Drosophila melanogaster: one gene and its partners. The protein of the gene in region 1 interacts with the protein of each later gene in a pairwise test. Each region holds a gene or a part of one and is shown in the gene's direction. Other genes may lie near its edges.

Evidence for each region.
Region 2: the proteins of CstF64 (region 1) and CG12229 interact in a two-hybrid assay, tested with the Drosophila melanogaster proteins (one large-scale study listed by BioGRID).
Region 3: the proteins of CstF64 (region 1) and Boot interact in a two-hybrid assay, tested with the Drosophila melanogaster proteins (one large-scale study listed by BioGRID).
Region 4: the proteins of CstF64 (region 1) and CG14563 interact in a two-hybrid assay, tested with the Drosophila melanogaster proteins (one large-scale study listed by BioGRID).

Annotation. Positions count from the first base shown.
Region 1 is NT_033777.3:18,656,116-18,664,104, forward strand, and holds CstF64 (cleavage stimulation factor 64 kD subunit), read left to right. Parts: upstream 1-3,502; 5' UTR 3,503-3,589; coding exon 3,590-3,726; intron 3,727-3,789; coding exon 3,790-4,912; 3' UTR 4,913-5,011; downstream 5,012-7,989. Other genes in the region: CG31224 (uncharacterized protein), read right to left, coding at 50-868; Cpsf73 (cleavage and polyadenylation specificity factor 73), read right to left, coding at 5,044-5,133, 5,197-5,639, 5,701-6,992, 7,055-7,216, 7,273-7,340; Gos28 (golgi SNARE, 28 kDa), read left to right, coding at 7,681-7,702, 7,768-7,952.
Region 2 is NT_037436.4:17,431,461-17,439,761, reverse strand, and holds CG12229 (uncharacterized protein), read left to right. Parts: upstream 1-3,330; 5' UTR 3,331-3,384; coding exon of another isoform or gene 3,385-3,438; 5' UTR 3,439-3,514; coding exon 3,515-5,230; 3' UTR 5,231-5,290; downstream 5,291-8,301. Other genes in the region: CG32176 (uncharacterized protein), read right to left, coding at 1,904-2,155, 2,219-3,249, 3,385-3,438, 5,306-5,368, 5,429-5,573, 5,625-5,825; frc (fringe connection), read left to right, coding at 6,787-7,908.
Region 3 is NT_033778.4:9,090,329-9,098,798, reverse strand, and holds Boot (bootlegger), read left to right. Parts: upstream 1-4,140; 5' UTR 4,141-4,267; coding exon 4,268-4,307; intron 4,308-4,371; coding exon 4,372-5,339; intron 5,340-5,495; coding exon 5,496-5,591; 3' UTR 5,592-6,293; downstream 6,294-8,470. Other genes in the region: CG8777 (uncharacterized protein), read right to left, coding at 1-57, 113-205; Ctu1 (cytosolic thiouridylase subunit 1), read left to right, coding at 349-396, 453-610, 663-1,488; Nadk2 (NAD kinase 2, mitochondrial), read left to right, coding at 7,030-7,069, 7,146-7,392, 7,748-7,988, 8,050-8,256, 8,314-8,470.
Region 4 is NT_037436.4:21,838,944-21,845,844, reverse strand, and holds CG14563 (uncharacterized protein), read left to right. Parts: upstream 1-3,458; 5' UTR 3,459-3,489; coding exon 3,490-3,787; intron 3,788-3,867; coding exon 3,868-3,938; 3' UTR 3,939-4,037; downstream 4,038-6,901. Other genes in the region: P5CDh1 (delta-1-Pyrroline-5-carboxylate dehydrogenase 1), read left to right, coding at 6,115-6,179, 6,311-6,784.

The DNA of each region.
Region 1 (7,989 bases):
GATTGCACCCTTTAAGACGGGACAAATAACTTCTGGGACTCGGACTCACCTGCAACGGCGGAGGTGGGGGCAAAGCTGTGGCGTAGCTGAACTTCAGAGCAGGCTGATGCTGCGAATGTTGCTGCTGTTGCTGCGGGGACTGCTGCTGGTGTGGAAAGTGAGCCTGCTGTTGATGGCTGGCGAGGAAGTGCTGCTGAGGCACCTGCGGAATCACCAGCGCGGCTGTTGAGGTGGTGACACCACGCCCAAAGCCCGACGTCTGCGGCTGCTGCTGCTGCTGGTTGAAGCGATAATCCGGAGTGACCTGCGCTGGCTGGTACAAAGTGGACACGCTGCTCGTGGTGGGATGTGCGGATGTGCTGGCTCGCGCCTCAGTTGTGGGCGGTGAGCATTTCAGTGCTTTCATCGGTGGATTGCTCGGTTTGCTGCTGCTGAGGCTGCTGCTGTTGCTTGCTGAGGTGGAGGTGGGTGTGGAGCTGGTTGTCGAAGAGGCGGCTCCGTTGGAGCAGGCCGCCACGAGGGAGGAGGATAGCGGTGGTGGTGCTGGTGGCAGCACAGGCGCTGTTGCTGCTGATATGGTATTGACCACGACTGGTTTGACATCGCCGCCAGAAGGGGGTGATAAGACGGCCGGTTTCTCATCAGCACTGGCTTCGCCGCCGCTGGATCCACCTCCTCCAGATCCTCCTGTCAACATGGCGGCAGCGAGAACGCTGCCCATGCTGTTGCCACCGTTCCCAACGATCGTCATCTGCACCAGCGCCTTGATCACCTGCTCCTTGGGATGGGTCTCCAAGTGATCGGAGAGATTCATGCCCGCATGCAGGTACAATGTGCACACGGGGCATTGGACACTGTTGTCGACCATGATGACGATTTTAGATTGTTCTATGTGTGGCTCCTGCCTACTCCTACTCCTGCTCACTGGCTGCTCCTGCTCTCTGGGAGCCTGGCTTCTAGCTTTCTAGTGCGACGGATGACTGGCGTGGTTGCCCTTCAGAGTCATAAAACAGCGTATCTCCTTGGCTTGGCGTCCATCTTGCTCAATCCTCTGATTCGACGCGGGTGAGCTGCATTGGAGAATATAAAGAATGTCAGAATGTTGGTGCCAGAAATTACTGTACCAGTCCCTGGGCACATTCTGCGCTCCGATATCAACGTCTTCGGTGAAACGATACCCGATATGCGAAGAATGCGCCGTCCGGCGATCCAAGTGATCAAGTATCCACGGAATGCGTAATGTTTAATCTTAACAAACGCGTCTTTTTACAAAACCAATCCAAATTTATAAAGCTGATAATTTAATAATAAACCCTACTTTTCTTATAGAAAGGTGATTTGGACTGGAAGAACCCTTCGCACATCGTGCATCCTAACTGTTGAAAGTAACTCAATTAAAACCACAAATGTTTTACTATCGGGGGTAGCACAAATAATCAGTAAAAAAACGTTCGTTGGAAGTTTCTTGTAGTGAGTAATTTCTTTAAAAGCCAACAAAATAAAAGCATGATAAAAATAAAATTGTTTCAACAGCGAGTGCATTTCTAATATGATGATTATAATGATTTTGGTTTACCAGTAATTATTTTGTTCTTTAGAAAGCTACCAAATAAGTACAATTAAACATACAAGGCATATTTAATAATTGAGGATCGCAAAGGATCAAAATGAGAGAACAAGAGTCAATAAACTTTTCTAGCACAAAGCAGACCCAACCTCAACACAGTCACCCTTAAAGTCGATTCCACATTTTCGAAATCAGAGGTGCCATTTTAAATCGATTCTATTGATTTAGTAAAGCCATGTCTTATATTCGAATCCGTTCATATTAACCACATTCTCTGAGTAGAGCAACATAAGAATTCTGATTAGAAGGTCCTGTTTGGGCAATGGAAATGGCGGATTGGAATGCCGGTTGCAGATGGGTGAGACAACTTCTGGAGCAGCTTTTTTCTCTCGGGGAGCCAGAGCAGCAGGAAGAAACGGAATCAGAATCGGAAAAAAAGAGGCAACGACCCAGACCCAGCCTGCTGACGAGTTATTGGCCGTTCATCTGGTTTGCCTTTTGCTGCTTGCCTTTTGCGATAACTTTTGCTTTTATTTATAGTCTGTCTGCAGACCAACATTCACTTGTTTCTTTTTTGGGATTTGGCCATCTCTGCAAGGGTGGCTCTTTGTTTTGGGGGCGAAGGACAATGCGAGGGCTGCACATAAACAGCGGCAAACAAATGTCTACGTCTGTTGCTATTGATTTTTCCTTTGCCAAAGGTTACACACACCACGCACACACAACACCCACATGCACACATGCACACACAGACTGTCGAAAAATTGAGGAGCACACGGTGCGTAAATGCATTATGATTTATTCCAGTATCCCAGTTTGCAGCGACAACAATCGCCAGCCAACCTTTTTTCCAGTGTGCACACACGCGCGCTTGTTTGTGTGCGTTAATGTCGCTGATCTTGCCACTTATTGTACGATTTTTTTCTGCTGATTATTATTCACATAATTACAGACACACACAATTTAAAAATGCACATATTTCCGCTTTTGTTCACCAGCCATTGCCATCGATTTCGTTTTCGTTTCGTCCATGGAATGGAATGACACTTCCACAAAGAGAGGACGCCAGCTAATTACCAGTATCGATCGAGAGAGAGAGCGGCTGAGAGCGTATCCTTGGAAATGTAAAGAGCGTGGTGCACCTGCGGCCGCTTAAAGATGAAGAGGAAGTGGAGTTGGAGGAGGAACTGGAACAGGAGGACCAGGAGCCAGGAGGCTCTCTTCTCTTCTTTTTCTCGTTCAATGACACAGAAATCTTTCCTCTCGTCTTCCGCTTTGTGCGCTCCTTCTTCCAATATACAAGCGAGCTTTTTATATGTGCGAGTGCGACTGCGAGGCCATCGCTGCGTTTATCTCCCTCTGTCTGTGTGTGTGTGCGTTTGTGTGTGTTGGAGTGCGTGTGGCTACACACAAAGTAATATTTTCAAGCACGTTTTTCATGCACTTCGAGCCGTTTTTTGTCTATTGCCGCATAGAAAACGAATAAACGCCACTTTCATCTACAATTTGGTGTACAATTCGTGCATATTGGTGCACTTTTCACTATCAAAAACCGTTTAAATCGTTTTCACCTTGCGACAAGAAAAATTACAACACCAGGCGTTGGAGTGCTGCAAAACGTATGCGGGCTGCGGGAACTTACCAGCACTAGCAGTGGTGGTATTTTTGGCTAAGCAGGGCATTTAGCTATTTTCTTGCTAAATACTACGTTTCTAAGTGATGGCAATGGATGAGAATCCCAAAAATTAGACCAATACTGTTAATTATTTTCTCAGGTGTTTAGATAAGAAAATAAAATAAAATGGCTTGCGTATCTGTTATTACACTTTGTTTAATATTTTGCGTCCCATACCGCTTTATTTCCCAAAAAGTATATGAAAAGTATGAATCCCTGGTAAGGGAAATTATTCAAGGAAGAAGAAGAAACAGCAAGCCGGAACGCAGGGAATTTTTTAGACAAGTTTGTCAACGTTTGCTAAGATTTTGTCGAGTTTGTGCAGTAAATAATAACAAACAACAGATATGGCAGATAAGGCGCAGGAACAAAGTATAATGGACAAGTCCATGCGGTCGGTTTTTGTGGGGAACATACCCTACGAGGCCACCGAGGAGAAGCTAAAGGAGATTTTCAGCGAAGTGGGCCCGGTCTTGTCACTGAAGTGAGTTCCCTACTTAGAGCCATGCAATATCTCACTGTAAACCTCCTATTCTCAATCCCCCAGACTGGTCTTTGATCGGGAAAGTGGCAAACCCAAGGGCTTTGGCTTCTGCGAGTACAAGGACCAGGAGACGGCTTTAAGTGCCATGCGGAATCTGAATGGCTATGAGATCGGCGGCAGAACACTGCGAGTGGACAACGCGTGTACGGAGAAGTCGCGCATGGAGATGCAGCAGCTGCTTCAGGGACCCCAGGTGGAGAATCCCTATGGCGAGCCCTGCGAACCAGAGGATGCTCCCGAGCTCATCACCAAAACGGTGGCTTCCTTGCCGCCGGAGCAAATGTACGAGCTGATGAAGCAGATGAAGCTCTGCATCGTGAGCAATCCATCGGAGGCACGCCAGATGCTAATGCTCAATCCTCAGTTGGCGTACGCTTTGCTCCAGGCCATGGTGGTTATGAGGATCGTGGACCCTCAGCAGGCGCTCGGGATGCTCTTCAAGGCCAACCAAATGCCCCCCGTCTTGGGCGGCAATCCGCACCAGGGGCCGGGGAATCACACCATGATGGGTCAGCAACAGGTTCCGCAACAGCAGGTGCAGATCCCGCAGCAACAGCAACAGGCTCCCCAGCCACCAATGCCCGTTCCCGGACCTGGCTTCCCGGCCAATGTCCATCCGAACGATATCGATTTGCGCATGGTGCCGGGTGGACCCATGCCGATGGATCCCAGGATGATGGGCCGTGGCATGGACCAGGATTTGCGAGCTTCTCTACCCAATCCAGTGCCACCGCCGCTGATGGATCCCCGAGCTCGTGCCCAGATGCCCCCACAGCAGCAGCAGGGCGTTCCGCAGGCGCCACCGGCCCCCTATCCCAGCGATCCGCGCCAGCGTCCCATGGATCCCAGGTTAAGGGCAGGACCTGGTCCTCAGCAGCAGGCGCCGCCACAAGGAATCCCCCAAGCGCCGCCACCGACACAACAACAGCAGGCGGCCGCTCAGCAGTTGCAGAGCAGACTAGGCGCCCATGGAGTCCTGCCCTCGGATGCCTCCGACCAGGAGAAGGCTGCCCTCATCATGCAGGTACTGCAGCTGTCCGACGAACAGATTGCGCAGCTGCCCTCCGAGCAACGGGTCAGTATTGTCATGCTCAAAGAGCAGATTGCGAAGAGTACCCAGCGCTGAAACTACTCTGGCTGAAACAAATGAAAAATCACCATTTCGCTCATGCATACTATAGTACTTTCAACATTGAATCAATTAATAAAAAGAACATTTCAACACAAGGAGATTTATTAAGCGGAATAGAATGGTTTTCAAAGAGCGGAGACTAGGGTCTGGTGTAACTTCTGAACCGTCGTATTGAGCATTTGTCGCAGCACATCATCCTCGGCACAGCTGATGGCCTGGAAAGATTGTAGATTAACGATATTTTTCGATTTTAAAAAGCACCTTCGACGAACACTCACCAGGGTTTCCAGATTTATTTCCGCACGTTTACCGCTCACCGTCACTGGCAGCAGATCGCCCTCGAACATTTTTGGCACGCAGTTGTCGCCGAAGGTGTCCTGTAGCGTCTCGATTAGGCACTCCCGAAAGCGCGAGTCCTCTGACTTGGTTTGCTTTGTGGCACCCTTCAGATTTGTTCCGCCCAACTCCGATTGCATGATGCAGGCAAGAACGGCATCGGCGTACACATCATTCACATGCGTCGCTTGCCACTCCATCACAATGATTTTCTGCTCCACAGTTAGCTCGATGCAGCCGAACACGCGCAGCTTTCGCTCCGCCTCCAGCACCTCAACGCATCCGGCTCCAATGCGATCCAGCAGTAGCTCTAGAGTGCTCAGCGAGCTGCCCCAGGGAATCGACTGGCGTTGGGTTACAACAGACATGCTCATATCCGTGTATTCTGTGGGAATTATTTAAATGAATCGACATTTTTACAAAGAAACTAACTAACTATTACTTACTGCCCAGATCAGAAGGAGCCAAGAGGTGGTACTTAAAGTCGCGCTTAACCAGAACACCTGAGAGTTTGCTTCCCACCTCCGAGTTCTTGGCTGCGAGGCTTCCCATCACCTTGGCGGTTTTCTCGCCACGGAAATAAAGATCCACGGCATGTGTGTTTCGCGGGTTGTAGAATTTTATATCCGTGCTTGCATCTGCTTCGTATTCCCGCTGCAGGGCCAACTTCAGACGCGACATCTCGTTCTGCTCGCCGTGGACGAGCACGACATGCGTTGGCTTTAGTAGGCGGATGAATTCACTGGTCTGCTGGTAGTCCGTGTGAGCCGAAAACGATATGTAGTCGACGGACATGTTGAGCGGCAGCTTCTGGCCCGACAGTGTGGTGATCTCCTCCGGCTCGGAGAGAACGGCTTTGGCCAAAGTGCCCTCCACGCAGTAACCGGCTATAATCACTCCGTTCTTGGGATCTGTGCACCAGCTCTCGAAGAGCTCTCGCGACAATCCCGACTGCATCATACCCGGCGACGCCATGATTACGCAGGGTCCGATATCCTCGAAGTGATCGATACCCTTCAGGTTGGAAATGTGGCGGAAAACGAAGGGATTGTTCACAGCTATCTGTCGTCGAATTCGATCGTTCATAGCATTGATGTACGTCTGGTAGACAGCCATGCACTTCTTGGCCAAAGAGGAGGCATAGTAGATGGGAATCTCGTGCAGATCCGGGTTCTGCGACCAGAATTCATCCAGAATAAGTAGCAGTTCTTGGGCACGGCCCAAAGCAAATACTGGAATTAAGCATCTCCCGCCTTGCTGAACAATTTTCTGCACCAGCGAGGTAAATCGATTCTCTCGATCCTCTCTTTTCTCGTGAATGTGAGTGCCGTAGGTGGACTCTGTGATAAGAACATCCGGCTTCATCGGTGGCACTTCGGCAGCCATCAAATGTCGATCCTCCTGGCGCGAAAAGTCACCAGTATACAAGATCTTGATGCCAGCAATCTCGATCATGAACATGGCGGCACCCAAAACATGACCAGCAATATAGGCACAAAAGCGTACGCCCATCACATCGCGCTCCTCGTGGAAATTGATCGTCTCGATCTTCTCCATGGAGGCCTCCAGATCGGCTTCCGTGTATAGCATCTGTTCGGTGGATATGTTACTGATCTTGATGTAATCGGACAGCATCCATCGGTAAATGGCTTTCGTGGCATGGGTCATAAAGCAGCGGCCTTTAAAGCTGGTCTTCATGAGAAACCAAGGCAAGGCACCGCAGTGATCCAAGTGGAAACTGATAAATATAAGCATTCACCATTAAAAGTTCAATGCCCATTTAATCGCCGCAGTACTTACTGTGATATAAACAGCAGATCAATCTCATCCGCCTCTATTAGATCTACGTAGGGCAGGGCATCCATGCCGGACAATCCCGGATGGATTCCGCAGTCCAGCATTATCTTCTTGCCCTTAAATTCCAACATGATGCAGGAGCGTCCCACTTCCTGGCCAGCACCACTGAAATATAAGCGTTACCCTTGAGCTTCTATCTGGTTTAAATCAAGATTCCTTACAGTGGCTTGATCTGCAGCAGGTCGCTTTCCTCGTCTGGCATGCGTGCATCACCTGTTGCCTGCGTCATGATGTCTAAAATAATGTAATCAATAACAAACTTTTTTACAAATCGCCGGCAACAAAACGCTGTGCACGGCAGTGTGACCAAAGTTTGATGACTGCCGGTATGGACCTGTTCACACAAGGGCTGGAAAAGAACATTGTACTTTTTCCTTTTACATTAACATTAAGTTATTAGGACAATTTAATTTTCTCGTAAACATTTGTTCATTAAGTAGGGCCTAGATTAAATCTGGCTATTAATCTTTCCCGATACTCTCAACTCATTCCACTTGGGCCCCGCCTGACCTGGTCACACCGATTGCCACACGAAAGTCGAACAAATAAAGGAAAACTATTTTTGACAAATGGGAGGATCCAGCTACGATGGTGAGCAGTGGGACTTAATGGTTACCTTCCATATAAGCTATCTCTCCTCTCGACCTCCCGCACAGTGCTCAGGAAGCAGGCGCGGAGCCTGGAAAACGAGATCGACCTGAAGCTGGTGGCATTCAGCAAAATCGGAGCTGGCAGTGGAGGAGGTGGAAGTGGAGGACTAGGAGGCGTTGACACATCGCCGCTCCTGGGCGAGCACGTCTTCGATTCGCTGTCGGAGGAGATCGAGCAAATGCTGGAGAAGGTGCGATATGTGACCCAATGCCATGCGATGGTGCAGG
Region 2 (8,301 bases), on another chromosome or scaffold:
AAGCACTTATCGGGTTTTTTTAGCACAGCGTTTATGGTTATAAAAATACAAAATAAGCTTGGTTATCCTTGATTTAATATGTTTGTGTTGCCACCACTTTTTGATTGTTATTGGCTTACAAATCCTCGGGTTTTGTCACTTATTTCAAACACTTTGGACACAGTAAATCGGCAGATTGCTATTTTCATTTGTTTGGCTTTCATTTGCTTCTCATGGATTTGGTTTGATTTTGTTGCAGCTGGAAACTTACAGAACTTGTACGGGGCGTTACACTTATTTTATCATGCCGACAAGTCCAAAACGACGCTGTGGTAGCCACCCGCGGCTACTTCTGCACCACGTACGCGTTTTCTGTAGACTGATTCGGCTTTTCGGTTTTCCCAATTGCCAGCCTGCCGCCAAAGGATGCAGTCACCCACACCCGCGCACTCGAAAGAGAGCGAGAGCCCGCGAGAGAAACCACCCCCAGAGCCAACCCCAACCTCCAGCGGGCAACGCTCTGTTGCTATTTTGTTTACTTCTCGCCGCGGGGGCGTTCTACGGACTAAAAGGAGAGACACCCAAACGGTCTAGTAGGGGAGAGGGTGGTAGAGCTTGGCAAAACATGTGCTAGTCTTATCCACTAACTACGTACATTATTTGGCGCCCAACGTGGGGCATTTCAATCGAAAATTCATTTTTGTTTCCGCTTGTTTGGTCTAAGCATCTAAATTTGGCTTGTAACCTCTACAATCTAAAAAATTAAATATGCATTTATTTTAAGTTTTAATACAACAATTTTCAAACATTTGGTCTATACCCATGTCATATTTATTTATATGTATGTATACTGCGCGCCCACTTGATGGATTCGCAGTAAAAGCACACATCCATATAAGTAAACGAATCCTACCCTCTGCTCACAGGACATGCGTATTAGATAAGCCAAATATAAAAATGACACTCAGAGAACAACTCTCCGGACCATTTTTTGTTGTTGTTGCTAAAACAGTTTATCAACACGCCCGAGTCTCTGATAAAACAATCATCGTTTATGGTGCAACACGCTTCAACCGCCGCCCCCCAGCAGCATAATTGAGATATAGTCCAGTGACCAGACCAGTAACACCGAACTGGGGTGGCTAACAAATCGAGTCGAGTGGAATAGCAAGGAGAACAGTGAAAAGTGGTGGGAGTAGACTCAAGTGTAGAGTGGTGTGGACATGTTCTGCAACCGCATGATTAGAAATTGAGCAAAGTCGATGATAAAGCGGCGGGTGGAGCTGAATCCCTTACATGTATAGAAAAACGGGTGGGAAGCCGAAACTGGGTTAAACCAAAACCCTTCCATTTAAATGCGTACCCAATGATTTTTTAGCTTGTTTATGACAAGTAATATCAATGCACAAGCGTAACCTTCGTGCGGCTCGTTTAACTGCCTATTCCAGGCTGCTCAGCTCACGCAAACTCTTCTTAAACAAAAAAGCACAGTTATCGCATTTTCTTTTAAACTACAAAACATAGCTGAAAACTACAAATAAACATGTCGACGCATCGAATACATAAATAAATCTTTTTAAGTAATATATATGAATTCAATTTAAATAAATACTAAATCCAAAAACTGCGTTACACGGCTTTTTCAACCCTTACACGGCTTGTTACTCAAACTAAAAACGATGGCTTAAAATTATATTTATAAAAAGCAACTACTTCTACACAACGTATACTTACTCTACACGAATAGAGTATCGAAAAGACGAATAAGAAATTAAATATCCGCTTAGCACGATATATTCAAATTTTTTGTTGCCTTCCGCCCCCGAGGACAGCAAATTTTTATTTGACTTTTTATATGCCATATAAACTAGGGCCGTGCGTCAGTACGCGACTTTTCAATAAATCCCGCCCTTAGCGGCTAAACTTATTTATCCCCCTTGCTACTGTTTGAAGTTTTACGCTGTCGGTGCTGCAGAAGCTCCTGGTATTGCTCTATGGATCCGTCTTCATGCTTGGAAGTAAATGAATCCGGCTTTTCAACCTTGGCCTGCTCCTCGCCGGCGGTGACTTTGGTGCGCTTCGATTTCTTGAGCTTGTCACGGACGCGTTTTCCCAAACGCGATTCGGCCAGCACCTGGCTGACCTTGGAGCTCTTCATGTAGCGTGAACGCCAGGACTACAAACAAAAGGATTATTGTGTTGAAAAAAAGGTACTGTTTTGAGGAGCATTTAAAAATACCTCGGAGTCTGCCTGCTGTAGTTTGTCGCGTTCATCCTCGCTTGTGTCCAGGGATATGACATCGTTGTCCAGTTCCTCAGGATCCTGCATCTTCTCCTTTTTCTCGCTTTTAATGCTTACCCAAGGTGAATCGTCATCCTTCGTCATTTCCTCAATCATTTCTAGATCCCCACCTATTGAAATGACGTCGTCGTTTTGATCTTCGTCGTCAAGGGCAGTTGGCTCGGCTGCACTCGGCTTCTTTGGCTCTGCAGGGGGATTAGCTGGGAGAGCTTCTTCCGACGGTGGTTCCTTATCCCCTGTTTTATCTAGCTTATCAGACGTATCCGATACTTCTGGCTTATTACTTTCCAGTTCTTTCGAAATAGCTGCTGCTTCTGACTCTGTTGGCTCATCTGGATTGGCTGGGTCAACTACCTTAGCTGGCTCTTCGGGTTCATCGCGCACTTCTCCCTCCTCTGGCTCGCTCTCAACGACTGGGGCTGGTGGGTCCGATTCGACTTGCTTAGTTGTAGTTGTTTCAGTTGTCTTCTTTTTGGTGGCCTCATCATCCGTACTGTCGCTGATCAGCAGTGTTTCGGGTTCCGTTTGTATAGGTATCACATCTGGTGAGGCTGAACGTGATTTGGAACGTGGCAGTTTGTTTAAATCGTTAGATGCAACCAAAGTTTCGGATGAAGTAGTAGATGTTGGAGGTTTGACTTCCTTTTCTGGCGACTTTGAAGTCCGCCTATAGTTTCTTTTGATCTTGATTCTTTTGCGGGGCGCTTCCTGCTCCTTGCTGCTGCTATCAGGCTGGGATGGAGATGTTGGTCTAGCTGATTCCTGCGATTTGCGCTTGCTCGAATCCGTTTTTTTAGTGCTGCGTTTATCCTTTTCCTTTCGCTGTACTTTCTCCACTGGTACTTCGTCAATATCATCATCTGACTTGACCTCTATTTTGGTGATTGGCTCCATTGCCAGTTGGGAGCGGATGGCCCTGGCACGTGCCTGAAGTTCCAACAGTTCCAGCACGCTCATTTGACCACCCGCTGTGGGAGAAAAGAATACCTTAGTAACCTGAACAAATTTGCCGTCAAACGGGCGCACAGTCTCAGATGGCTGTTGTTATCATACTTTCGGTCGATTTCGATTAGTTTTTATACATTCGTAAAGTTTGTACTTACACTCTTTGTTTTCATTCCCATTGTTCGTTTTCTTGGATCTAAGCTTCTTCTTGGCTGAAAATCAGACAAGATTGACACAGATTGCATTACAAATTGTGCTAAAGTATACATAAATTAACTGCACGCCAGGATGCCGATCAACCAGAAAGAAGTAACGCCGCAACTAGACAGTCAGACAGGTGAGGATCAGGGGGAGGAGGAGGAGCAGCCGGAAGACGAGAATCGTCTGGAGAAGTTTACGGTGCGTCTTAATGGACAACATGACCTGGAGCAGCGTTTAAAGGATTTCAAAGCGGCATGCGAGGCTCACGAGAAGCACGCCAGACGGCGAAAACGGAAGAGATACTATCATTTGGGTCTTGTGGCCAAGCTGGTGACGGAAACCACTCACGACGAGCTGCGACGTATGCTGGAAAATGGAACCTACACCTTTCACGTGGATACGGTGGGCAACAAGCCCGATGAACTGAAAGCCATTTTGGACACCATGAACATTGCGATATCGGCGCATTCTGCAGAGAGGGAACTACGTCTGACAACTGGCTTGGCTCTGGAGATTAACGGCGAGTGCTGTCGCGTTGGGAGACTGAGGAACAACTGCACCGTGATGCTGGCACGAGGTGGGGTGGTCACACTCACCACGGATGAGTCCTACCGCTACAAAGGCTTTAAAGAAATAGTGTACGTAATCAATCTGCGGTGTTATCTCGCCTCCGTTCAGTTGGGCGATATTGTGATGATCGGACGTGAAGTTAGAGGTAAGGTGGTGAAGACCCTGCGGGAAGCACTAACCGTGATGATCATAGATGCCGGTCTGGTAGCCTCCTACGACTTTATAGAGCTTCCTAGACAGTGCCACGCTCTCGATCCGGACCTATATCCCGATCTGTACATGAAGGACCTTGAGATGGCCGCGTCTTTGAATGCCAACTATGTGGTTCTGCCCAAGATACGATGCAAGAGCTTTCTTCGTGCCGTGCGGCAGACCTTGAACTCGGACTTCAACCTTAAGTTGATCGGAATGATAGATTTCGAGTATGTGCGAAGTAACATGCTTGATTTGCTAGGCATCATTAAGCTTGTGGACTACATTTGGATACCCGACATGTTCAACGTAAACTGTTGCGTATATAACTACATTATGGAGGACGTGCTTCCGATTTCGCAGTGCCAGAAGAAGCCAGTCATTGGCACTGTTCCGCTGGAGCGTTGCAGTGATTTTAAGCGATTTGAGTTGCACGATTTCCTGTGGAAGGTCGACGCTATTCACATCCAAAAAAGTCCATGGTGCAACAAATATCCGCTGATAGTCAAAAAGCTGATGCCCATAAAAGATTATCGTGTTGGCGCGGTCCAGAATAAGATGGTACTGAAGAGCATCCTAACCTCATACCAGACCATTGTGAATTTTATTATCCGCACAATTAGCTCGATTGAGTGTCAAGCCATATTTTTGTTCACCACTTGCGAGACCGCCAGCGTGGCCCTTTCGCGTATTGAGATCTATTGCCCAGTATATGTGATGGTGCCGCTGGAGGAGACAGATGATGCGGAAACCATTACCTGCAAGGTGGAGCTCGCTCGTGCGCTTCATTTGCGCCGTAACATGCACCCGGTTCTTTACACCAAGGATCTCAACGAGTGCAGCTACAGTCCGATTGAGTTTGGAGTGGACTTTATGAGGAAGAAGGGCTGCTTGGAGGTTGGAGACTTTGTAGTTACCCTGGAGGTGGGCAAAGAGGATAAGGATAACGTGGTCATCGGCATAGGAGAGGATGTTTGCATCCTGCGGGCATTTTACGTGTCGCCGCTCTTTGCCTGCGAGAAGTTTAAGTACGGTGGATAACTTTACGGCGTGCAGTTGTGCAGATTACACAGATAATAAACTCTAAATTAAATGTATCTTATGCCACCAACTCACTTTTTCGGGATTCCTGACCTCCGATGTCGCTGTCGGATGATATCTCCTCTAGCGAGATGTGTTCTGAAATGAGACTTTATAATGAATGGTGGGTTTATAGGGCAAGGAAGTGATTCAACATACCTTCTTTGTGCTCCACATCGGAATCTTCGGAGCTTTCAGTGTCTGTGGGACATTTGGTGTTTTCTATTATGGATTTTAGCCGCTTCGTAGACAAGCAGAGTAACTCCTCCAGACAAAGTTCCTCGATTTCGTCTAGTGGCGTTTTCTGCGTGAAATTATTGATAAATAGCTTTTTATAAAAAGAACTATAACACACCTTTAGAAACTCTGGGGCTAGGTTCAAAATGGTTTTCGGTTTTAAGGTCCCAAATATCTGTTTCACCAATTCCAGGCGGTCGTCTATGTAATGGGACATGGGATGCAGCTTTCGTTCCTCCTCGATCTTCTCCTTCTTAATGCTAATGGGCTTGGGGATTTGGTCGCCCTTGCTGGATTTTTTCGCCTTCAAGCCACTCATTTTATCCAATTTGTTGTCAAAATAAAAACCAAGTAATTTCGGTCTTTCGGGCAGCGTTGCCACTACTATTTATACCTTGTGGACAGTGGGACGAAGGCAACAATTTTGTGGGATTAGTGTGAATGGCTCTATTTTAAAATTCAAAACGCAAAGAAAAACGAGCAGTATTACGAAAATGTATTTAATAAAAATTATTTCGTATACTAGGGAATGGCACATAGAATCAATAATTAAAAATGTACAATGGTGTATATTGCCTTTAGGACTGTATTATCCACTGTGCGCTGTTGTTAACAGTGTTATTGTTTTTTGTACAGAACAGCTGATTATCAAGCGGTGTAGGTTGAATTAAATTGTGGGAGTGTTAGTTGTCTTAAAATTGTTAAGGTAAGTTGATGTATTAATTGAACTTGTAATCCATCAGTGTAAAAGTGTTTACGGAAAGCGGTGATAGCAATTTTATATCAGCAAACAGTTTCTTGTCGTAGATATCATGTGAAATCCGTTAGTAAGGTGTTACGTGAGAAATAGTACTTGTGGCAGAATTTTAGAGTTTGGCTTTTATTAATGGGGATCTGTTACTAGTGTAAGTTACATTTAAACACATTAGTCCAATATATATTTAGCATTTTCTATATTTTTGTTTTTTTGACATGCCGCTAGAAAAGTAACAGAAACTGTTAAGTAACAGTGATGGCACATTTAGGTTATTTCATTGGGGAGCGTGTTTTGACAACTCTGCTGCGGCCACACTGAACATATGTTCCGGGGAGAATGGCTGCGATTTCGCGTCGGTAAAAATAGCAAATACTCGTTAATGTGCTGTGGGAACGCTTCCTCCCCGGCCCCAAAGTGGCCCCGAAGAAAGTGAGCAAATGTGCGCGCCGCAAGATAGTCGCCGCCGAACAAACGATAGTGACGAAAGTGATTTAATTCAACTACCAGCACTCCCGCAAATACGATGAGTATGTCGCGCGGCGGCAACACAACTCTGGACTTGCAGCCGCTCCTGGCGGAGAGCGATGTCGGAAACAGGGAGCTGGAGGAGAAGATGGGCGGATCGGCGGATCGGTCATCGCTGCTCGATGGATCCGGTTCGAAGGAGCTGAGTCACCGGGAACGCGAGGACTCGGCGTTGTTCGTCAAGAAGATCGGGAGCGCCTTGTTCTATGGCTTGTCCTCCTTCATGATTACGGTGGTAAACAAGACGGTGCTTACCTCCTACCACTTCCCCTCGTTCCTGTTCCTCAGCCTCGGGCAACTTACTGCTAGCATTGTGGTCCTGGGCATGGGCAAGCGCCTGAAATTGGTGAACTTTCCCCCTCTGCAGAGGAATACCTTCGCCAAGATCTTTCCGCTGCCACTGATATTTCTGGGAAACATGATGTTTGGACTGGGTGGCACAAAAACCTTGAGTCTGCCCATGTTCGCAGCCCTACGACGCTTCTCTATCCTGATGACCATGCTGCTGGAGCTCAAGATCCTGGGACTGCGACCTTCGAATGCGGTTCAGGTCAGCGTATACGCAATGATCGGTGGAGCGCTGCTGGCCGCCTCTGATGATCTGTCCTTCAACATGAGGGGCTACATCTATGTGATGATCACTAACGCCTTGACCGCCTCGAATGGCGTATATGTGAAGAAAAAACTCGACACCTCGGAGATCGGAAAGTACGGCCTAATGTACTACAACTCGCTGTTTATGTTTCTGCCTGCCCTGGCCCTCAACTATGTTACAGGGAATCTAGATCAGGCGCTGAACTTTGAACAATGGAATGACTCAGTGTTTGTGGTGCAGTTCCTGCTCAGTTGCGTTATGGGTTTCATCCTATCGTACAGCACCATCCTGTGCACGCAATTCAACTCGGCGCTGACCACCACCATTGTGGGATGCCTGAAAAACATCTGCGTAACATATCTGGGCATGTTCATTGGAGGCGACTACGTCTTCTCGTGGCTCAACTGTATTGGGATCAACATCAGCGTGCTGGCTAGTCTGCTCTACACGTACGTCACTTTTCGGCGGAAGCGGGCTCCCGATAAGCAGGACCACTTGCCCAGCACCCGCGGCGAGAATGTCTAGCTTCATCTTAGCTCAAACTCAAGCCAAAGCCATACGATATGTTAAGTGTATTCCGTACTGTGTACTTCAATTGCGATCTGCGATTCGCGACAACGTTCGTATTTGATTTTCCTACAACCACACAGCGCATCGTCTCTGTACATATATCTAGCTATATTTCTATAAAAATGTAATTTAGCAATTATGTAATTTTAATCACTTTGTACATTTGTCTGCATGCAACTGTTTCCTGCATCGAAAGTGTCATAAGAAATAGAAATACACAGACTTCCACTCCTCCGCCTACGGAATGGGTGGGCCAGATAAACAATTGTGTTCCGTCTTCTGTTCCATTTTGGGTCATAATTGATAAGATTGCCTGCTCCGATAAGGCATACAACTCGGACGTTGCAA
Region 3 (8,470 bases), on another chromosome or scaffold:
GGCTGCCCCAAGCAACAAGTAGCCCATAGCATTTTCAGGCTCCGATTTAAGTAGGCGCTGCAATAAAGGCATTAGGATGATGCATAACTGGTATGTTCTATGGTGACGTCACTTGGCACTTGGGTATGGCTTCCGCATGCTTGCCCAGCTTTATGGTCTCCCGAATGTCCTTGATCAAGGCTTTTGACTCTTTTACGGCGCTCATTGTAAATATTTATATTTATTTTTCATCTATTCCAAACAAACAGTGATGGGTAACTTGATTTTGTATAACGCCAGTGTTGGTCACTGCTGCATAAGGTGCAACAGCTGTTAATTAAATTGTGTGCTAATTAAGTGTCAGTAAAAATGCACATTATCTGCAAGTCGCAGTGCGGAAATCGCGCTGCTTTGAAGGTAGTTCATAAGTTAAACAGCCCCTAATAAATCCTAATAATGTTGTTTGCCCAAAGCGACCCAAAACCGGCGATGCCCTGTGCAAGGAGTGCTTCTTCGCAGCCTTCGAGGCAGAGATCCATCACACAATCTCCTCCAGCAACTTGTTCCGACGTGGCGAGAAGGTGGCCGTAGCGGCCAGTGGAGGCAAGGACTCCACGGTCCTAGCGCACGTGTATGTCGTACCATTCCCCCCATCGCACCTCTCTAATCCAAGTGTTCTACAGATTAAAACTGCTAAACGAACGCCATAACTACGGTCTGGAACTGGTGCTCCTTTCCATAGACGAAGGCATCACTGGATATCGGGATGACAGTTTGGAGACAGTGAAACAGAACCGTGACGACTACCAGATGCCACTAAAGATCCTGTCCTACGAGGAGCTCTACGGCTGGACCATGGACCGCATTGTTGCCCAGATCGGCCGTTCTAACAACTGCACATTTTGCGGCGTCTTCCGCCGACAGGCCTTGGATAGAGGGGCCAAGCTGTTGGGCGTTGATAGCATAGCCACAGGCCACAATGCAGATGACATTGCGGAGACTGTCTTGATGAACGTGCTCCGTGGGGACACGGCGCGCCTGCGACGCTGCACGAGCATCCGCACCGGCGGGGGCGAGGATACCATTCCCCGAGTGAAGCCCCTCAAGTACAGCTACGAGAAAGAAATCGTGATGTACGCCCACTACAAAAAGCTGGTCTACTTCTCAACGGAGTGCGTATTCGCCCCCAATGCGTATCGCGGCCACGCTCGAGCGTTTCTCAAGGATTTGGAGAAAGTGCGACCATCGGTTATAATGGACATCATCTACTCTGGCGAACAGCTTCGCTTCAAGGACACGGTAAAGAAGCCCGAGCGTGGCACATGCACCCGATGTGGCTTCGTTTCCTCACAGCAGCCGTGCAAGGCGTGCGTCCTTCTCGAGGGTCTAAATAGAGGATTGCCGAAGCTGGGCATAGGCAAGAAGTCGAAGGGCGAGCGAATGATTGCCAAGCAGAACCAGGAACTAGCATTGCGGGAGCGAGCAAACTTAGTAAAAAACGATTTTTAAGAACACATATGAATTTTATTTATTCGTGATTCCACAAGATACAAATTGTGTTCATCCAAGGTTGCCAACCTGAAAAGATAACAACAGGAACGATAAGTTTGGTTTCGCAGGCTAATTTCATTAATACTAGAATGCATTATGAAGCTCAGTGCCAAGTTTTTAACCAGGGCCCATAACCAGTCAAACAAGACGCTCTATCTCCAAAAGAATATTGAAGAAGATTGCCAGCGCTTGACCTTTATATGGTGTCTGTGAATGGTTTAAGTGATCATCATTGAAATCTTCATTTCCGCTAAACAGAATCTCTTTTCGTACTAACCTTTTTAGATATTGGAATTTATAAATGAACCATTGACGGATTCATTTTGCTACGCATGTTTCACATCTGTAAAAAAAAAAAAAAAATCAAAAACAATACAAATAAGTAGTTATTCAAATATAACTCAATCGTTTAAGCGATTTTAAAATGATCAGTTAATTATATTAGAAAAATTTGAATCACAACGGTTCATTAGAGATGTCAGAAATTTTAAAAGCATCATTTACATATTATTTCGTTCTAGAGTATAATTTACCTTTTCAAAGGAGAGATCCTTGTTTGGGCATATGACGCGACAATCAAAGGTGGTTTTCTTGAACACTGCAAAATGACAAAAATTAAATGGTTATAAAGAGCAGCAACCGATTTTCTAAAAAACTTATAAAACACAAAAATAATAAAATGAAGGGGTTTCAGTAAAAACTCGTATAGCTTCATAACATTTTTCAGTCGAAAGATGGTGTAAGTTTCATTCATCACAACACAATTAATTGTCCAATTTACACATAAAATTTAAACTAAATTTTTTTATTATCTTAAACCGAATTATTACCTTTTTCACTGTGTTAGTGAGCCACGTTTGATACATGATATTGACGTTGCAATGAACTGAAATTAAAATATATTTGTGTTATTCAAATGTAACAATCTTTTTAACAGGTTTTTTTAAAGCGTTTAAAATTCAGTGAAAACTAGTATAGCATCAAAATGATTTTCAGTCGAAAGATGATGATAGGGTCATTCATCACGAAATTTTAAGTAGTTTTCATAAATGAAGAGAATAATTACCATTTCACGCTGATAACCTCATTTATATTCCGAATCCAAATCGAAAGACCGATCTGCAAGTAATAGATGAGTTCTCATAAGTCACGGCCACAAGTAAAAATTATATTTAGTTGAGAGTCGAATGTGTCAGAATTAGTTATAACTGATTTGAATCACAACGGTTCATAAGAGATGTCAGAAAATAGAATTATAAATCATCAGATAACTGAGAAGGGCTAATTTGGGATTTGGAACGAATTCTTACCGTCTGTCTCTCTCCAACTCTGCCAGAAAACACGTGTTGAGCATAAGAGGCCATTTTGTTTCTGAAAATGGAATGCTGGGTTAGCCATATTCGCAAATACTAAACTTAGCTAGTTAAGAGGGTTTAAACTGTCAGCTTCACGAAAATAATATGCACCGCAAACTCGGGTTTTTTAAATTTGGGTTATGCTTGGGCAAAGCACGTTTTTCTGCGAGCAAGTAAAAAGCACTAGCTAAAGTAGTAGTTTCTTTACACCAGCGACTCATGCTCGCATGAAAATATTAATATTATTTAACAAAAATATAAATAAATACAATGATGAAACTTACCAATTCACAAATGCCAGCGCTTTAACGCAGCGCCTAGTAATCACAGATTCACCTGCAATATAAGCAAACGCATCGTTTAGCTAACGTTCTTTTTTAATTTTTAATTTGTTGAGACTGCAATGGAATCTCGACCACGTGACTGCAATTTGAATTGCAATCGGTGAAGTGCATTTCCCTGCGCATCACAAATTAATCTTGCAACATTGAGTTCTGCAAACAAGCCAGTAGAACTCGATTTGCAGTTATAATCGCTGCACTCACCGGTCGCCTATCATATCTATAATACTTACATTTTTATATATATTTTTTTAATCGTTTCCAATGCGGTGATGTTCGCTCCACGTTCTTTAAAAAAGTGAAGAGAAGCCAGTGAAGTTGGCGGCGATTGGTGGTGCAGTGTGCACGCTGCTTGTACTTTCAAGAATACTGAAACGCCTAACGCCTGCGTTTGTGGTCTGTTTTCAAGGTGGCGCACTGTTATGAAAAACTGATTTACCAAAACAAGTTCGCATTGAACGATTTAAGTAAATACATACAAGTTATTGCCCCATATTAAACTTAAGTCAATACTTGATTTAATTTAATAAAGAAGAAAATAAACAAAGAAAAAGAATTCACACAAATAAAACACTAATAATATTTTATGTTTAATAAACTTTAAATAAAATGAATAGATCTTAGACAAATACTACCCGACTAGAAAATACTCTTACTCAGCTAGTGGATATGCGAACACGAAAATTTATCATGATAGATACTGCTAAATAAAATGAGAAAAAATTAAAAATTGTTCATAAGTGTGTTTTGAGCGTTTTGTAATTATAAGGAGGGGTGTGGCAAAGGTGCTCGACTTGGCTATTGATCCTGATCAAGAATATGCTTTTGTATACTATTTTACACTACGAGTAACGGGTGTAAAAACTCAAAAGCTGACCAGTGCAAAGAAGTTTTACTTCGATTTATCCGGGTGGTAATATTCGATTGCAGCACTTGCAGCTCTACAAACGCGGTGGTTCTAACTGTTTTTCTTGCGGACCAGACTGACGCGGCGCCAAGCTTTTTTTGTTTCTATATTTTAGGCTTAATTGCGAGTGCACGATGACGGATTTCAATGCATCCGGAGTCATTCTGTCTTTGGGTACGTAAAAATGTCTGCTCAATTTGTGATCGTCCTTAAAATATTCGTTTTTTTTATCTGACAGATGAGTACTTCGAGCAATGCGTAGTACCAAAACCCAGAATACCACCACGATACTCGAGTAATGCAGCCCCCAAGGGCGATAATCGCCAGCTGGGGCACTTGCAAACCTACAAGGACCAGGATCAGGGTGGCGATACCGATGTTGAAGTTGAAGATTTCCAGGGTTCCGTGCTAGCAAATGGCCAATCAATTCTAACCGAGTTCGATTCCAATGTTTCGCAAATCAACTTTGAGATTAATGACTTTGATAAGGTGTACTGCGAGACGGAGTCTCAAAGCTCGGAGGCCTCACAAGGCTCAGCCACGTGGCGCATGAATGGTAACAACGTCAACCGGCCATCAGCGGCGGCTCAACTGGGGCTCAGTGACCAGGCACGTGGTCACGTTAAGTCGCGCCTTGATCTGAGAGAAGGCTCTCGATTTCGTAATAATTTTAACAAGAGACGCAATCGTCAGTATAATCACCATGAACGGAATGAATTCCATCGTCATCAGCACCAGCCCCAGATTGCCAAGAAGGAGGTCCTGCGCTACGCCTACAATGCCTTCAGCAGTCAAGAAATCCATTCAAATCAACAAACTGACCTTGACATTGATGTAAATAAACATTTCCAGTATACTCACCAGGCACCCACTGATCCGCGTAGCAGCCGCAACTACATGGGACCTGACCACTACGACTGGACCGGCTCCACCTCGATCGGCTCTTTAATCGATTCGGTGTCCCACATTCCGGATAATCGTGTCAAGAACCATTTGCCTTGTGAAACCATCACGCGTTACACGGACAACTCGATGAATGTGTTTGCTGGAGAAGCGCAGGATATTAATAAGCCGCAGACTGACCTGAAACCCGCAGCAGTTGATTCCGAGAGCATGAAAATCAGTAAAATGGCCCACAACGTGATGCTCTTGCTCAAGAGCGTTGCCCAGCAAAACAACCAAGGAGACTCGTGTGACATCTTCAAGGTAATATTCGAAATCATGTGTAATCTAATACCACACAATAGAGATTTGAAAGAAAGCCTTACAAACTGCACGTGTAAGAAAAAAGGCATTAAGCTTCAAGAAATGATTCATATTAACTTTGTATTTTTAAATAAGTTTACGGTTTTCTTATTTAAGAACATCGACTGGATAAACGGACCGATGGAGGAGTCCCGAAGTGTCGCATTGCCTGAACGTGAAGGAGGAAGGGACCAACTGCAACGTTTTAACTAGAAAACCGACATCAAGTTGCATTTAAGGGATCTATCTGACTTCTGTTATTTCTAAGTACTCAGCAGCCCATGTTTAAATTAAGTTCGCCGGATTGGCGGGCACTTTCTGTGCGAATTGCGAGTCGACGCAGGCAAGAAGAAGACGATTTCGACGATGCCCAGTGAATGGCAGGGGTGAATAGTCGCTTTCTGCCTCTTTTTTTTATATATATAACACATATTTCGGCTGATAAGAACAGGCTGGGCCTCTTATCAGTAATGCACAACAAGAAGTACACACGGACGAACGAGATGTGAGAAGCGAAAGCGGACGAAAATAGAAACAAACGGCGATAAATTTACAGCGAAGGCGATTTTATATACATACATAACTGATGTGCCGGAGACGAACAGAGTAATAATCAGTTAATCTGCCAAGCACCCAGAGAGCGGACGTGAAAATGATCATCGGGATCGGATAGCGGGATAGTTAGTAGTGATCGTAACTTAGGATAGTGTGCTAAACACTAACCTCAACCTATGTTTTGTGCTTTGTCGAGTGTAGAACGAACACGCAGTTATTTTGTTGTTTGTGCAAAAGCATTCGAAAGTGGCCAACTGAAGAAAGAGCCATCGATTCTTTGCATTTGGTTACTTTTATAGCGTAGTCTTTTTCCCAAACGATTTTCTTAACGAATACGAAATAAACTGAACACAGTACCCTAAATGTGCGTTGTTCGTCTTCGGTAGTGCCAAGCATGTTGAAGTCGAAGCAGTTGCTCCAACAGTTTTCCAAAGGTAAGGATGTGTGGGTTTCCGGAGCCGAAATGGCACAACTTGAGGTGTTTTACACACCCTAGCTATCTGTGTTTTCGTTGCCGCCTCCATTATCAGCCTTAGGCATGTGCTGGAGTAAACTAATACCATATCACCAGATCCGTAGGCTCGCCTTGACAGCCTTAATCGCATCTGACGCCGACCAAGCCGAAGATTATCAGTAAACACTTTTTCGCCAAATTCTTTGTCACGATGAACTTTCCCCACGCACACTGGCTGACAAAATTATTCGCTCAGAAAGTGGATATTATCTTAAATATCCTTTTTGGTTTCCGGATTAACTTAACTTAACCAACTTTTCAACAAGTATTGAACGCAGATCTCAAAGTGTGTGTCACTAAACTTTGTTATGCTATAATTATATTGATTATAAACAAACAAATTTTACATACTGGATAGCTTGATTTTACTTATCTTTAATAATGGTATTTAAAGCTCACTGCAGTATGTCAAACCATTAGGAAAATCTACGAAAAACATGATTGGTACAAACCAAATACATAACATTGTTTCATTAAAAGTTTTAGAGGGAAAATACTTTCCACTTGCACTGTGTTGTTTATCAGCTGTTCCGGGAAATTTCCATTAAAACCTAGTAGTTACACATCGATTTCGGCCGTAGGATGCTTCAAAACGGCAGGAAGATTATTCCCGAGGGTTTGAGTAAATTTCCCGTGACGAGGACCCACATTTGATCGGACTAACGAGGTCTTTCGCTTGCAATTGCCATTTTGAACAGAGTACGCTAAATATACGCCGACCAACTTCAAGCTAAAGCGGGCCCTGGTCGTCACCAAGCTGTCCCGCTATGAGTTCGAGCAGCTACGCCACCCGGAACTGTCTCCGGATCAGCTCCAGCAAAAGCTCCGTGACCGGGGCACCGACGTGGAGATGGTCCTCCATCTGCACAAGGTGCACAAGGACTTCGAGCGGCGGGTCGTGCAGAGCTTCCAGGACGTCGGCTGCGAGGTGAAGTTGTCCAGCAGGTGCGTACCCATGTAGTCCTCCAATTCAGTGATCGGAGTGCAGCTCAAAGCAACGGAGGCCATAGGTACATGTACTCAAGTAAATGAGTAAATGTACTCAAGCCATGGAAATGATTTCATTGCTTTGAATGAGATTAGTTCTATGAGGACATGTACCCAGACATCCACACCTTTAGGCCTCCAATCACTGCCACCAATGTTGTGTTGCGTGCCTCGTCACTTCGTCACATACTATACCTATATGTATCTTCGATTTGTGACTACTACCCGCTACAATTGATCTCCACCATCTTCACACACTTCGTGTCTCCCATGCGGCACCTCACCCTGTGTGTTGACTTTACTAAACGAGCAGACTTGAATTTAGAAGCTCGTTGAGCAAGGACGTCATGAGCTGGGCGGACGTCATCGTGCCGGTGGGCGGCGATGGCACTTTCCTTCTCTCCGCCGGACGCGCCAGTCCGCTCTTCGCGCTCAGCCAGCAGAAGACGCCGATCGTGGGCTTCAACTCGGATCCGCTTCACTCGGAGGGCCGACTCATGCTGCCCAAGCACTACTCGGATAATCCGGCCGACGCCGTTTCCCGCATCAAGAGCGTAAGTCCTGGAACGAGCCACTTCTCACAATTCATTCATTAAATATTCAAATTCCTGGCAGGGAGATTTCAAGTGGATGCATCGCTCGAGGGTGCGGACTACGATGCTTGGTAGCAACGGCAATATTCCGGAGCCGACTGACCTTTTCCGCCACACGGAGGTCAAGATGGAGCAGGTCAGCACCGCACCCGAAATGCTGGACCAGGACATGGCCTACAAGTACAAGGCCAAGATGAAACGTGTTCTTCCTTACTTGGCTTTGAACGAGGTAAGACAATTAGGATTCTATGCTGGATTGCTTAGATCTTACAAGCTGTCTACATAGGTATTTATTGGCGAGCATCTATCGGCCCGAGTGTCCCACTTGCAACTGGTGCTGGACCACCAGGACGTGGTGAACAAGACCAAATGCTCCGGACTGTGCGTCAGCACGGGCACGGGCTCAACATCCTGGCACACCAGCATCAATCGCATCACAAGCC
Region 4 (6,901 bases), on another chromosome or scaffold:
CCAAAGAGCGGGTGCTTTCACAGTCTTCGCCTACTTAATGCACTTGTAGCCAGCTCCCGCTCAAGATCCTTTCACATCCTCCGCCGCGACCAGCCCCTCCGCAGACCACACACCCATCGGCCCCAATTATGACGTCTAGCGGAGTTCTAATTAGGCTCCCATCAAATTGTATTGTCTGTGTCCTTGTGTCTGGACCATTGTCTTGCCCCGAAAGGAACAAATAGCATTACGACGTTGCACGAGAAAAGTCGATGTTGTTCAAATTTTTTTGGAATTGCTTTATATGGATATTACTTTTTGCATTAATAACATTTTTTAAAATGAAAATCTCTAAAAAGATTAAAGAAGTAATCTTACTTTAATGGGTGACTTCTGTTCCAGAATTATTTCATGAAATAAATGTATTAAAATTGGTAATTGTTCAAATTCATCTGCATAGAGTGCCAGATAATATCGATATCCCATAAATGTGGCATAATTAATATATCGGCCAATGAATATCAATCAAATACCCATTAACATAACATGGCAACAAGAACTGCTCGTAATTTCAAATAAATCATTATAAATACATAGTTTTCGAATATTTGTTCAGCAGTCCGAACTCACCTGTCAATTTGGTGGCGCAGAGTTTAAATTAAATTTCGCTGCGGTAAAATGTTGTTAATTAATTTGAATGTTTTCCGTTTGTTTGCTTTCTTAGTGTTTGTTGCTGGGCGCCAAAAAGTACAGTCACCAACACAGAGGCAAAACACGCACAGGCACAGAGCGAGTGTTATTAGCTGTCGAAACTGTTATTTCCCGTGGTCGCTGTCCCGCTCTCAATCTCTTTACCTCACTGTCTTTGGCGGCGTTTTGCTGTTGAAGGATTATGCACTTAATCCGCTGATATCGGTTGCCAGGCGGGGGAAGGCTGGAGGAATCTTGTAAATTTGTTGGGTAATTTCTGGGTATCTTATCTCCTTTCGTCAAACTCGGTCGGCTGATTGATGGATGCCAGGCGCACACACTGCACAAGGAACACACAACTTGACTGAGCGAAATTGCACAAATAACTGAATCGAAATATCCCCCCGCCTCTCACACACACAGTCACGCACACACACACACGCAGCGAAAGGGAAGGAGCAAGCGAGATGTAGATATGGCGAGAAAGGGAGAAAGCACTCTCTGCCTCGCTTATTTTCGTTTAAAAATTTCTTACAAATTTGCTAAACCCAAAAAATGAGTGCAGAAGCGCGGTGCACTCGAGTGCATTTTAATTGATTTTTTCTTTATTTTTTCGACCGGCTTTCACTCACAGCAGGATGGCATCTCGCTCGGTCCCACGCGGCGTATGCGTAACACTTCAGTTGCAATTCGGCGCTTTGAGTGAGTTTCTCCTGCCAGTGAGTGAGACTCTCGAGTGGGCGATCTCTGTGGGTCACGGCACGGCTCCAGTTGCACTCCTATATGATTTTAAGTTTTAATTAGCTTTTTGTTGCTGCTGTAATTTCGACAGCAAACAAAAGTTGCTGCTGCATCAAATTTTTAATTAATTACACGTAAGAATGCTGAAAAATTGATGGCTACAAGGAGGTTTCTTTCGTTTCGGACAAACAATTAGCATTTTACTGTCCCAAATATGATGCGAAAGTATGAGGGTAAATGAATGAAAAGTTTGTAGAAGTTTTGTAAGGGATAGCTTTCAATTTTTCCATCGGAAAGTGGGGACGGGAGTTAGGCTCGGCATAGACAAACTTTTTAATATGAAAATTGCTCGTTTGGGGTTTGGAAAATTAAGTCCTTAAATTGGGGACTGGGGAAGCGTACCCTTTCTAGAATGTTAACTTTCAAGGAGGCATTTTTAATGTCGAGAGATAGAATTTCAAAGTCGTAATATAACCATAATTTCCTTCTTATAAATAAAACTTACAGACACACATTTTTTTTAAGAATATAAGGCGTGTTCACTATGCATTATATGTAATATTATTTTGGGTCATTGTAAAATATATTATTATTTGATAATAGTTTTAAGCTTAATTTATTTGCACAAGATCTCAATTACAATCTTTTTATGAAACCCTTTTAAATAGTACACAAATTACCAAGCCGAATTTATGAGCAAGTCACTCGGCTCAAACAACTGAGGCTACTTTAATATAGGGTGTCCCGAAATCCGTGCACATCCAGGCTTGAGCATGCGTAGTCGGCATCCGGCCGGAGCAACTCACTCAACTACTGGAGGTCAGCGGGAATGCAACACCTACGAGGCTCAAACCTACCTGAGCTACCTGGAGTAGTGCGGCAAAGAAGAGAGAGTCAGAAACCACCCCGGCAGAGAGAGTGAGAGAGAGAGAGAGTGAGTGAGCGGGCGGCGGAAGGCAAACGTCAGCTGCATGGGAACCCAAAGGCGGGACAATTCCAATTGTGACATTTTGCATTGTTGGCCAGTGTAATGACACACACCTACACGAACACGAATGAGTTGGGTACGGGAAAGGCCTTAAATATTTATGAATGGCATGTTGTATACTTTTCGGGCACATATGCAAGAGCTACAAAGTGTATTGAGAACAATTCCTTGCAATTGCCCACGACTTGCGTTTTTCACATTTTTAAAAGCTTATTTACTATGCGAGATGTGTAAACCCACCGTATCTAACATCACTAAATTACTAAGTTGTAAGCCTACTTTCATAGCCAAGAAGAATAAATTAATCTATAAGTACATTGAACTTTCCATTATGCAGTTCTCAAGTATCACTTTCCAAACCGACAGATTCGCATTGTGGAATAGTTTCAGCGTCGATGCATGACCACCAAGGCCAAAATTCTGTAGCCAAAAGTCCCTCAAACTGAACTCTCGGCCAACGACCAAGCTGATCGCAGTGGAAAATCCGAAAACCAATACGATTCCAATTATCAGAATCGGAGTTATTACGGTTGACCTCATCCGAAGGGCGTGAATGAGCATTGACCACGGTCCAGGTCGGCAATGAACCTCAAAGAAGTGGAAAGCACCACTGGCATCGCACATGACTAGGCGGACCATCAACCAATTTTAAGGTTAATGACTGTGTTTACGCAGAATAAATGTGAACCCCTGGCAAAAAAAGCGGCTGACTGACTAATTTAAATTGATAGCAAAACGGCAATCACAAATCAGACGAGATGTGGGATGAGTAATCGCGGCGATAGGCAAAAAAGAGCCAAATAGTTTTGTTTTGTTTTGTTCTCTTGTTGTTAACTTGCACTAAATACATACGTTTGCAGAGCGTTTATATTGGGATTTAAAAATATTGCGTATACGCCGGCTGGGTTACGCACGAACGAGCAAACCGAGCAGCCGCTGATGGGCGCCCGATTAAGCTCCATTAAAAAAGCGTTTTATGCTTTAAAATTGCAAACATTCGGCGGCAAACTCTATAAAATCAGTTAATGCCGGGGTTTTTGCATTCAGTCAACGTTCGAGGATTACACACGATAAACATGGCCAGAAAAATCATGTCAGTGAAACAGTCGAGCCGCTCTCCATGTTGTTGGTTCGGTTTGCTCCTGGTCGCCATTTTCCTGCAGCCATCCGCGAGCCAATACTACGGTTATCCCTATTACGGCGGCGCTAATGCGGGAGCGGGATCGGGATACGGGAACATATACGGCAGCGGCATGTACGGATACCCCTACAGCTACGGCGGATATCCGTACTACTCGTATCCCGGCTACAACCCGTACTCGATGTACGGTGGATACGGGCAGTACGGATACCCCTATGGAGGATATCCCTACGGCGGCAATGGCATGAGTGAGTTTCCCGACTGATAGCACCTCGGTGCCTAGCACACAAGTAATCTACAAGTGTTTTGGACCTGTTTCTTCCTCTAGACGTGGCCTACGCCAGCAGCAGTGGAGGATTCGCAACAGCCAGTGCGGGTGGAAGCGGATACTACGGCTAGGAAGCGCGAAACCTGATATAGTTTAGTGATAGGTATACGGTTAAGTCATCCTACCCCATAAGTGTGTTAGTGCTAATAAATATGATATTTATGTTCTATAAGTCAAGACTTATTCTTATGACGTGTCCAAAACTAGTGTACCTGGTAAAAAATTGTACACCTAACTAGTGCCTTCATGTATACCACCATAATTTTATTAGCTCCCGGAACTGATGTGATAATTTGTATGTCTTTTAGCACATTTGACCCTATGTATGTTCCGCCAAGTTTATGCTGCCATGACTCTTTGTGGGATCATTAGATCCTTTTCTCAGCTTTTAGCTTTGAGTCAATAACTACGTACGCATATCTGGTCGTTTTAATAGTTATAAAAAAGCCTTGAGGCTGTGATCCCATATATAACCATATACCGAAAAATATTTTTTGCTTCGTGATAACAAATCGACAAAGTTTGATCCATGTGCATTCTTGGCGCCTTATCGATAGCTATGGACAGTGTTGTAAGGTGCACGATAGTAAGGGGGGCAAAATTGTATCGGTCTGCCGATAGTTCCCGGCCGTTAGCCAAGTCCAAATTCGACCGACCGACCAATAGTCTCGCAAAACACAAAACAAAGGCACACCACACTTCGTGCTCTCGCCGAATTCCGCCGCCGTCGCCTGAAACTCACACAAAGTAAGCCCGAAATCAGTGGAAAAGCGCCGAATAGTCGAATTGCAGGTTCAAATGGGATGGACGGCGACTTAAAAGGCGGAGGCCAATAGGCGGCATAAAAACATTGTATTGCGTAATTGGGGCCAATAAGAAAAGCAAAAAAACAAAGCCAACCGACTGCATTCTATTGCGCCTGTGTGTGTGCTTGTGTATCTACAGCTGAGCAGTAAATAAATTTGTTTTACATTTGGCCTCCAAAGGCAATTTCTCGGTGTTCCCGCTCCCTGCGTTTCCATAAACTTCCTCTCCTTTCGCATTAATATCAATGTCTTTAGTTCATCGTTACATATTATTAAGCACTTAACAAGCAGTGAGTGGAAAGAGGAAGACAAATAGCCAAAGTATGCTTACGTTAAAAGAGCTTGTTCCACATATTCGCCACCTTTCTCCCGCACTCTTCCTCTCCCACTCTATCAGCCATCTCTATCCCTCTCACAGGGGCTGCTCACGCGCACCGTGGGGTGTTTTTTCGATTCTCTACCATTTTCGCTGCTATTGCACCCCTTCCCCAGCATTTGTGCCGCTTAATTTCATAAATCAAGGCAGCGTCAGTTAAAAAACACAAGAACTACATACGTATGTACTTCTGCCCACATCCCCTTCAGCCACCTTCTCTTCATCTTTCTGGTTTCGGCAATGGGAAATTTCCGTAGCCACCGCACAGTGGAAAGAGACAACAGCACGCAATTTAAATTACAAGATTGCAATCTCGCTTTTTGGGCAGTTGGTTAAATTTTCATCGAGACACAAGCTGAGCCAAATAAACATTCACTTTTTAAACGAACAGTGCACACGAATTGGGTAGCAATGCCTTGTTCTAAACATAGTGTAAAATGTTTTTAAGATAATTTTTATTTTTTAGTCCAGCGTTCAAGGCACTCGACAAATAAAACAGCATTCATAAATTTACTAATTTGCGATTAACTAGATTGTGCCAGCTTTGACACGCTCTCATCCCACTGTGCGCTTCGTAGACAGAACAGCTGATGCTCGTCAAATTTTAGCTTCTGCTTGTGCAAAAAGCGCTCTGAGTGCGCTTGTGTGTGAGTGCGTGTGTGAGCATGGGAAAGGGAACGTGGTTATCGATAATAAAGTAAACTGAAAATAAATCAGTCATCCGCTCGGTTGACCAACTGCCCAAGTTAGTGCACCTTCTAGAATTTCTTGCAAGTGCACATTCTTTTGGTTCGCAGTGTTTCTGTTTTGCGCCTTATCTGGGGGGTGTGTCGTCGTCGGGAGCTTCACGTTTGGCTGGTTATCAAAATCACGCGACTTGACGCGGACCCCCAGTGAATTGCCAAGGTTGCTGATAAATGAATACTAATCAAACGTTTGCTCTTTTCGCGGGCCTATCGCTCAGATAGCAAAATTCTAGGTGGTACGAGCCGACGACGACGAAGAATCTGAGAGACCGCTTATATAATCCGGCAGCGAACGAGACAGGCCCCAAATCCCGACAAGATGTTGCGAATGATGCGAAGTTCCTCCTCCAGATGCTCTAGTCTTCAGCAGAGCTTGTTGAAAAGGTATGCCTGAGGTTATATCCTTATATTTCATAATTTACAACTGACACAATATGTATAAGTAACCATATTATGCATACACTAGCTAGTAGTTTATTAGTTTTATTACATTGAACGCGCTTCATTTTTATCAGTTCGACACGCTGTCTGGGTTCCGTTATACCGGACCTTAAACTGAAGGACTTCCCGATCGCCAATGAGCCAATCCTGGGATATCTCAAGGACTCTAAGGAGCGTAAGGCCCTCGAGCAGGCTCTAAAGGGCACGGCCTCGAGTTGCGAAGACATCCCCATCGTGATCGGCGGCAAGGAGTACAAGACGCCGGAGGTTCGATACCAGGTCATGCCCCATGACCACCAACACAAGCTGGCCAGCTTCTACTACGCCGACAAGAAGCTTATCGAGAAGGCCATCAAAACGGCGGTGGAAACACAGCCCAAGTGGGACCGTGTGTCGATTGCAGACCGTCTGAAGATCTGGGAGAAGGCAGCGGACCTAATGGCAACGACGTACCGCCAGGATCTCAACGCCGCCACCATGCTGGGTCAGTCAAAGACGGCGATTCAGGCGGAAATCGATTCAGCAGCGGAGCTTATCGACTTTATACGGTGAGTGTCCCCATAATTTATTACAAGGAACATGCAGAACCAGAACACAATCTGTTCCAATCGATTTTTTTTAAAGGATTTTCCCAATGGAAGAAGCAATCATTTCCTCATTATGAT